2 linked regions of the Xenopus tropicalis genome follow. Each later gene encodes a partner of the first gene's protein in a complex. Links are inferred from orthologs where the notes say so. Each region holds a gene or a part of one and is shown in the gene's direction. Other genes may lie near its edges. The genes, in order: nhp2 and nop10.

Region 1 (4,579 bases):
GCAATTACAGGTAAGAAAGTCCTTAGACTTGATGAGAATTACTCTTGCATAAACTGACTAGTTTTTATCCCGGTATTGGGCCTGACAGGTAGTAGCAGTAAAAGAGCTAAGCAGGGGATGTTTGATTTCACAAAATCTTATGAATGAATATTATCTTTAAAACTGCCCCTGCCCATTTATATGTTTATAGGGTACAGTGGCTACAAACGATCGGATTACATTTGTGGCCATGGGGCAGTCGGTTCGGGGACCGCATCAACGAGCCCATGCGGTCCCCGAGCCGACTGGATTTTCTAACCTGGCCGATCGATATCTGGCCAATTTCAGGCCAGATATCGGTTGGCCAGGCTGCTCGTTTCTGCCCACACACAGGCCGATTAGCTGCCGAATCGGTCCAAGGGACCGGCCCGTGTATGGGGGCCTTTATTCTTTGCAGCTTTCAAATTGGGGTCACTGACCCCGGCAGCCAAAAGACTATTGCTCTGTGAGGCTCCAGTTTTATTTTTATTGTTACTTTTTATTCCTCATTTTTCTATTCAGGCCCTCTCCTGTTCATTTATCATTTGTCATTCAAACAGCTCCCTGGTTGCTAAGATAATTTGGACCCTAGCAACCAAATTGCTGCTGAACAAAAAGTGAAACTAAAAAACTAGAAAGAATAAAAATGAAGACTAGTTGCAAATTGTCTGAGAATATTACACTCTACATCAGGGTTCCCCAACCTTTTATACCCGTGAGCCACATTCAAATGGAAAAAATTTTGGAGAGCAACACAAGCATGAAAAAAGTTCCCGGAGGTGCCAATGAGAGCTATAATTGGCTATTTGATAGCCCCTATGTTGACTGGAAGCCTACAGAAGGCTCTGTTTGCCAATTACACTGGGTTTTATGCAACAAAACCTTGGCTCCTAACCATAAACTCATAAATAAGCACCTGCTTTGAGGCCACTGGGAGCAACATCCAAGGGGTTAGGGAGCAACATGTTGCTCATGAACCACTGGTTGGGGATCACTGCTCTACATTATACTAAGAGTTAACAGAAAGGTGAACAACCCCCTTTAATGGCAATTTTGTTTACCAGACAAAAACGTTATGGTGTTTCTCAGGATGAGAATTAGCTGGATATATCAAAAGAGACTGGAGTTTATCGTTATTTAGGACCTTACTCCTAAAGCGCAACGAGGGTCCCGGTATTATGGGTATTATTTATCGTTATCATTGCAGATTGGACTCTTTCCTGTACTTGTATCTACCTCACCACTAGAGGGCTTTAGGTCCTTCCCTTGGAAAGAAACTATCTCTCTAACCAATGATTAATTTATTTCCTTTCTACTATAGATATTAACCATACATACAAACTATACACCACAGTAAAGTCAATATTCTCTGCAATACCGCATATTCATGGCCGGAAGTTTTCCTTACGCAGAGACTAGAGCGCAAGTCACAGATTGCTTTGCATATGCCCCTCCCACCGGACACGGAAGTGCTCAGTTGTGCGAGTGTGCGCGGTTACACGTGGTTGTGCGTTGAGCCTGCTCGTCTGTGATCTAGCGAAATGACTAAAGCAAAGAAGGAGGAATCGGAGGAAGTGCCCGAAACGCCGAGCAAGTCTTACGATGAGCTGTTGGCGTATCTAAACCCCATCGCTAAGCCGCTGGCGGGCCGCAAACTCACCAAGAAACTATACAAATGTGTAAAGAAAGGTACCATGCTTACTTCAATGGCCGCTGGCTCTTTCAGGCGAATGGTGGGGCTGTAATTAGAGTTTAACACATCCCGTGAATTGTTGTTGGAGCATCTTGTCTGAAATGTGTTTTAAAAGCGATAGCAGTCAGTCCGGCTTCTTGCGCACAAATGTGGATACAGTCACTGCGATGTACAGCGATTATAAACTTCGACTTCCGCTGAAATCCTGTGCAGGGATTCAGTAGAGGCTTTTAGCTAGTGACACTCAATTCACAGGAATATGTTCAGTTCTTTTAAAAGTGAGCTTTAGGCATAATTTCTAAAATCTAGTGCTAACATGAATGAAAAATATGCAATAATTCCTAATAAGCAGAACTATAACGGCTGAAAGTCAGCCAAAGCTTAATTGCTTCCTGTCACTGTAAAGGGATGTTTGAGAGGTTTCCCCATTCATAAACCCTGCCACCAACTGTGGCTTCATATAAAGCACTGCCTGCACTGTTATGGAGCCCTTGTGAACACTTGACCCCCCCCTCCATTTTATTGTGAACCAGTGTCACTAAGATTCACCACAGGTCTGCCATCTGAGGGCCTAGAGCAGTGATCCCCAACCAGTGGTTCATGAGCAATATGTTGCTCTCCAACCCCTTAGATGTTGCTCCCAGTGGCCTCAAAGCAGGTGCTTATTTTTTAATTTCTGGCGTGGGGGCAAGTTTTGGTTGCATAAAACCCAGTGTAAAGCCAAACAGGGCCTTCTATAGGCTACCAGTCCACATAGGGGCTACCAAATAGCCAATTATAGCTCTTATTTGCACCCCCATTTTCCATGCTTGTGTTGCTCCCCAACACTTTTTCCATTTGAATGTGGCTCACGAGTATTAAAGGTTGGGGATCTCTGGCCTAGAGCATTTAGAGAGCTCACAGCAGGGCTCTCTGGTTGCCTGCAAGGGACAACTGCAAAAAATGCAGGACTTGCTTTCTTAAACATTTCATCAATAAGACCATAAATACTTGTCCATTAAATGATAGATATGCCTTTTACTTAATCTGCCAGTAATAGAGGTTTTTGAATTCACCGCTTTCTGAAATATGTACACACTGTAATAATCAGAAGCATAAACAATGCCATTCCGTTCAAGAGGTTTTTGGAAGAATTACTACAATATGGATGTATCCTAAAGATCCCTCTATTTTCCCTTTCAGCCATAAAACAAAAGAATATCCGCAGAGGAGTGAAGGAAGTACAAAAGTTCATCAACAAAGGAGAGAAAGGGTAAGAACACTTATCCTTTTCTGAAACATCAATTAACCTCCACGGTAATAGTAGCTTACTGTACAGTTCTGACTTCTGAATATTTTTAGGATTGTAGTAATGGCTGGTGACACCCTTCCCATTGAGGTGTATTGTCACATCCCTGTAATGTGTGAGGATCGCGGCATTCCTTATTCATACGTTCCATCCAAATCAGTGAGTATTCTTTTTCCTTCACTTTTCTTCTAAACTGACAGTTCATTTCAGTGTGTACCAGTGGTTGCCAAAAATGTGCTGAAAAAGTCATCCTCGGCTTATACTCGAGTATATGGTTTTGTAATTCGTTGTGCACGCACGCCCACTGTGCGTACGCTCGCAAATCCCGCCCCCCCCCCGTACCTCCCTCTCCGGCCGCTGCAGGCAGAGGGGGCTGTGAGCTCCAGCAACCGGCTAGCTCACTCAGTGCCCCGGAAGAGACTGCGGCGCTGTGCGGGTCGCCCTGTGTAACTTGATCACTTCTAGCTCCGCCCACTCCACATGTAATAAGGATTTGCTTGTGAAGATATGAAGTACAGGAGACCCCCTACAAGTTGCTAGAACATGGTGTTATTATTTTAATTAAAAAAACGAATTTTTAGAAAGCACTAAGGGGTCTTATAGCTGTTTCAAAAAAAAAAAAAAAAATGGGGGATACCAGGTTTCCAGATAAAAAATCATATACAGAAGCATAACCATGGCAGGGTAGAGGGAGAGTCCTGGGAGCAGACATGCCAATAATTCATATATAATTTGATATGATAGATTTGTCATATCAAATTATATATATATATCGGGGACACACCTGACTATGTGGCTACAGTGAGGGTATAACTGCCCTTGGGAAGTGTTATCTTGCTCCTGGCTCGGCTCATGTTCCCCTCCTGCCTACATATTAATGGCCTCCTGGGATGTGTAGTTCCACAGAAGCTACTGCCATTCTGGCTGAGCACTCTCACAAATAGAAGCTTTGCTGTCAGTTGTGCTGGGAGACATGCTGCATTGCGATGGGAGCACACACAGCAGGATGGCAAGTACTTGATACTTAGTATGGCAGCTTCCTTAGCCTTCCCAAACTTGCCTGACTGTTAAAAAAAAAAAAAAAAAAAAAACTTAGCAGTAGCTGCTGCATTTCCCACCCTAGGCTTATACTCGAGTCAATAAGTTTTTCCAGGTTTCTTAGGTAAAATTAGGTACCTCGGCTTATATTCGGATTGGCTTATACTCGAGTATATACAGTAAATAATCTTTTAGTACACTTAAGGTATGGAGATCCAAATTACGGAAAGATCCCTTATCCAAGAACCCCCAGGTCCTGAGCATTCTGTATAATGGGTCCCATACCTGTACTATTGGAGAAAAATAGGGATTCTTCACAAATCTATCCTAATGGGCCTTTAAACTACTGGTGTCTTCTAACATCTTATATTTACCAGATCTAGTCACTGCAAAATGAGTGTGATTTCTTTACTTTAGTCCTTTGTCATACAACTAATACTTATAGACAGATCTTCTAAAAACAAAATTGCAAAAACAAATTCTCCTATACAAAGTCCTACTCAATTGTGCATAATACTCTTCTTGGTTAGAAACTTCTAGCA
Region 2 (4,615 bases), on another chromosome or scaffold:
TGACGGTTGATATTCTTAAGTGACTAAAATACATTTTCAAGATGGTTTAAAGTTCTCTGAAACTATACCCCCTGTGTCAAATCAGTTCTTAGCAATACCACCCCTTGTGCAATCTGTGCTGATTTTCCCAAAGATGCTCTGATTCTTCAGTGATGCCATACTGGATTCAAAGAGCAAGAAAGTCATATACAGTGGATATAAAAAGTCTACACACCTCTGGTAAAATGTCAGGTTCCTGTGCTGTACAAAAATGACACAAAGATAAATCATTTCAGAACTTTTTCCACCTTTAATGTGACCTATAAACTGTACCACTCAATTGAAAAACAAACTGTAATCTTTTAGGTGAAGGGAAGAAAACCAAAAAAACTAAAATAATGTGGTTGCATAAGTGTGCACACCCTCTTCTAACTGGGGATGTAGCTGTGTTCAGAATTAAGCAATCACATTCAAAATCATGTTAAATAGTCAGCATACACCTGCCATCATTTAAAGTGCCTCCGATTAACCCCAAATAAAGTTCAGCTGCTCTACTTGGTCTTTCCTGACATTTTTTTAGTCGCATCCCACAGCAAAAGCCATGGTCCCCAGAGAGCTTCCAAAGCATCAGAGGGATCTCATTGTTAAAAGATATCAGTAAAGACAGTCATCATCAAGTGGAGAAAATTTGGCACAGCAGTGACATTACCAAGAACTGGACGTCCCTCCAAAATTGATGAAAAGACGAGAAGAAAACTGGTCAGGGAGGCTACCAAGAGGCACTTACTGGCACCCCAGAAACTTTTTTCATGCTTGTGTTGCTCCCCAACACTTTTTCCATTTGAATGTGGCTCACGGGTATAAGAGGTTGGGTATTCCCTTTCCCCAACTATACTTTCTAACTCCAACCTCTTACTGGAGTGGCTCTTCTCCCGATATGCCCACCTACGGGTGGCCGATATTGGGCCAAACCAATTAAAATGGCGGGTATAGAAGCTGTCAGTTCGGGGGCCACATCAACCAGCCAATGTGGTCTCTGATCAATGGAAAACCCAAACCTGCCCAATCGAGATCAGAAGACGGTCGGGGAGGCCCGACATTCGTGCCCATACACAGGCAGATGAGCTGCCAAATCCTGATATCATGAGCTAAAATCAGCCCGTGCATGGCCACCTTTAGACTCTTTCTAAAAGATACACCATGTAACTACTACTCTTTTTAGACCATTTTAACTCCATCCCCACCAACCTACTAGTAAACACCACCTCAAACCTCCCCTGCCTGCATGTTCTAACACTGTCAGATCCCGTCTCTATGCTAACTCCTTCTAAGCATCCCCTCCTTCCTGCTGCAATCCCTTTACACCCATTCCAACACGCTGGTAGGTCATAATCTTTTTTGATATTTTTATTCTTTGCAGAAGTGTCTCGCATCATAGGTACGTGTTCTAACCGCTAAACTCACAAGTGAGCTGATTGGTCAGCGCCCTCAAGCTGCCTCAGGAACGACTGAGAATGATACCCAGATTTACTGACTAGTTAGAACAAAGGCCAGACAACACAAATAAGGATTTGGGGCGCATGAATAACAAAACAAAACAAAAACAAGTAGGCTGTTACTGCCCGTAGTTACATAACAAACGGAGAATTTCGCTCTCGAAAATAAGGCGAAATATCAACACGAGAGCGGGATAGGGGGTGTGGAGAAGGAACTACTGAAGTGACGAACTTTACCGGAACAGGAAGTAGTTGTGCGGAAGTAGTATCGTCACCCTGTTGAGAAAAACGTGGGGCGCTTGGTGAGTGTGGAACCTGCGTGTGTTTCTGTTCGCTGTAGATTTGCGCGTGTCGCTGCCTGACGCTAGAGGATGTTTCTGCAGTTTTATCTAAACGAGCAGGGGGAGCGTGTATACACAATGAAGGTGAGCAATGGAACTATAAACCAGCATGTGATGGGCTGATATTTTCCTTTGACCTATACTATTCCTTAGTACCTGGAGGGTCGCACAAATGGGCAGTGCAACATGTTTTAATGCCTATAGAGAAAGTTAAGCGTTTAGTTCCAATTAAATTGAAAGAAAATTGTTTGCTTAAGTCCATCTGGTGGCCACGATTAAAGCATTTTATATAGGGATTATAGGAAAAGTATAGTGTAAAAATAAAACTGGGTAAATAGGTAGGCTGTGCGAAATAAAAAATATTTCTAATATAGTAAGGCAAAAATCTAATATATAAAGGCTGGAGTGAGTGGATGTCTTAAGACATAAATGTCAAACCCAAGGCCCGGGGGCCAAATCCGGCCCACCTGGCTGTTTTATGTGGCCCTTGGTGAGGGTGTCTGACCATCCAGCCTGATCAATTTCCATTTTCCTCACATAGTAACTAAGACTAAGGGGTATATTTATCATGCTGTGTGGAGTGAAGTATTAGGGCTCTAGCACACGAGGAGATTTGTCGCCTGCGTTTTTTCCCCCCTGGCGCTTTGGCGACAAGTCGCCACGACAATACACAAAGAGATTTCATGAGAGTTGAGCTCCAGGCGATCTGCTACCCATGGTACACTCAACAGTTACCCCTCTCATGTTTACTCAAGTCGCTCAGAAAAGGGTCTGTACGATTTGAAACAGCAGGCGATTTGAAGTAGCCTCGTATGTTTTGACGCTGGCGATTTCCATTTGTTTAGCATTGGCGTCTTGTCTTTCATCTTGTCGCCAAATCGCTCTTTTAAAAATCGCCGGTGACAAATCTCCTCGTGTGCCAGAGCCCTTAACAGTAATGTTGCCCAAGGCATCCAATCAGTAATCAGATTTCAACAGTAGCAAAGCATCTATTGGCTGCTATGAGCAACATCACTGGTAATGTCTTACTCCACTTTTTACACATTGTGATAAATATTCCCCTTAGTATCTTACTAAGTATATTAATAAAAAATTTGGCATGCGACTTAACCTGTTTTTTAGATTTCGGCCCCCTTATGTGATTGAGTTTGACACCCCTGTCTTAAGATAATAGCCAGAACACTACTTTCTGCTCTCTAAGCTGTTAGCCATCAATAACCAATCAGTGACTTGAGGGGTGACTTGTCCGATATGGGACATAACTGTTCAGTTAGTTTGTGAGCATGCAGGTCAGATTCATAAGCAAACTAACTGAACAGTTATGTCCCAGATCCAACCCCCCTCAAGTCACTGACTGGTAACAGCTTAAGGTCCCCATACACTATAAGACATCGCCAAGCGAGCAGATTTTCACCTGATATCCCCACCTACGGGTGGGCGATATCGGGTAGCAAGTAGCTTTAAAGAAAAATAATCGATCGTTTGGCCCTGGGGCCAAATGATCGGATTACATTTGCAGCCATGGGGCAGTCGGTTTGGGGACTGCATCAACGAGCCGATGCGGTCCCCGATCCGACTGGATTTTATAACTTGGCCGATCGATATCTGGCCAATTTCAGGCCAGATATCGGTCGGGCAGGCCGCTCGTTTCTGCCCCTACACGGGCCGATTAGCTGCCGAATCGGTCCAAGGGACCCATATCGGCAGCTTCTATCGGCTCGTGTATGGGGGCCTTTAGAGAGCTGTAAAGGAGGAAGTTATGTTAAACATCTGTTTACTCCAGCCTTTATAGATTACATTTTTGGCTAACTAACCATATTGAAAATGTTTTATTTTGCACAGCCTGTCTATTTAACCACTTTTATTTTTACACTGAACTGTTCCTTTAAAGGCTATGTCCAACTTTGTGTTAACATTTATTTAAGCCCCTATTGCCAAAAAAATATTTTGCCAATAGGAATTTAACAAATTGTTTCCTTTAAAATTTTCAATGAAGTCAGGGCTTATGTGATGTTGAGTCCTGCACTGTCTCACTGGAGGAGGGTTTGCCGGCCCCTACGTCCACTACTTTTTACAGAGGTTGGCAGCGCATAACAGGAAGAAGCAGGAGCAGCTCCAGTACTGTGCATGCCTTGTTTCCTCCTTGTATTGCATAAATTGTATTGCCAGCCAGTCTGATTCATATAGGGCTAATGAGTGAAGATATGCGCTGCGTTAAACCTTCACAAGGGGAATCTGAAACCAACACAGAACCTGATTGCAAGTGGTAACTTTGTTAAAAAGTGTAGCGGAAATTTTTTTTATGAAGAAATATTTATTGTCAGAATATTTATTTTGGTAACGGGCTTGTGTGAATCCCCAGTTATGAAGTTATGTTCAGTCTGTTTTCACATTGCAGCTTAGAATCCTGCATATAAGGTTATTGCACATGTGCAATCACTCAGACCTCTTTCCAACAGCCTGCTTGTGTTGTGATCAATGGTCAAATAATCGAATCAGACCAATATCACCCACCTCAAGGTGGGATTCTTTACATGTATGGCCAGCTTAAGTGAAGAAATAGTCATAGTACACATCATGATCAAGATCGTTGACCACCTTATATGTACTATAAATCTGCCCTTAACTTAGTGTTCCATTGTTGTTCTTATCGTGCAAGTTGCAAGTAAACAAGCTATGCAACATAGAAGGAAAGGGACTTTTAAATGTGAATCTGATGGACTTAAAAACATTACGCAATAAGACTCCTGACTATGGAACCAAAGCTACAGCTTTGGTCCATCTTTCCCATCAGATTCA

Evidence for each region.
Region 2: nhp2 (region 1) and nop10 share a complex: the UniProt entries of both Homo sapiens proteins name them as parts of the H/ACA small nucleolar ribonucleoprotein (H/ACA snoRNP) complex. The link is inferred for Xenopus tropicalis from reciprocal best matches to the Homo sapiens genes NHP2 and NOP10.

What each region holds. Positions count from the first base shown.
Region 1 is NC_030679.2:47,806,852-47,811,430, reverse strand, and holds the start of nhp2 (H/ACA ribonucleoprotein complex subunit 2-like protein), read left to right. Parts: upstream 1-1,500; 5' UTR 1,501-1,559; coding exon 1,560-1,707; intron 1,708-2,893; coding exon 2,894-2,963; intron 2,964-3,052; coding exon 3,053-3,158; intron 3,159-4,579. UniProt on the Homo sapiens protein: Required for ribosome biogenesis and telomere maintenance. Part of the H/ACA small nucleolar ribonucleoprotein (H/ACA snoRNP) complex, which catalyzes pseudouridylation of rRNA.
Region 2 is NC_030677.2:142,941,657-142,946,271, forward strand, and holds the start of nop10 (H/ACA ribonucleoprotein complex subunit 3), read left to right. Parts: upstream 1-1,804; 5' UTR 1,805-1,846; coding exon 1,847-1,900; intron 1,901-4,615. UniProt on the Homo sapiens protein: Required for ribosome biogenesis and telomere maintenance. Part of the H/ACA small nucleolar ribonucleoprotein (H/ACA snoRNP) complex, which catalyzes pseudouridylation of rRNA.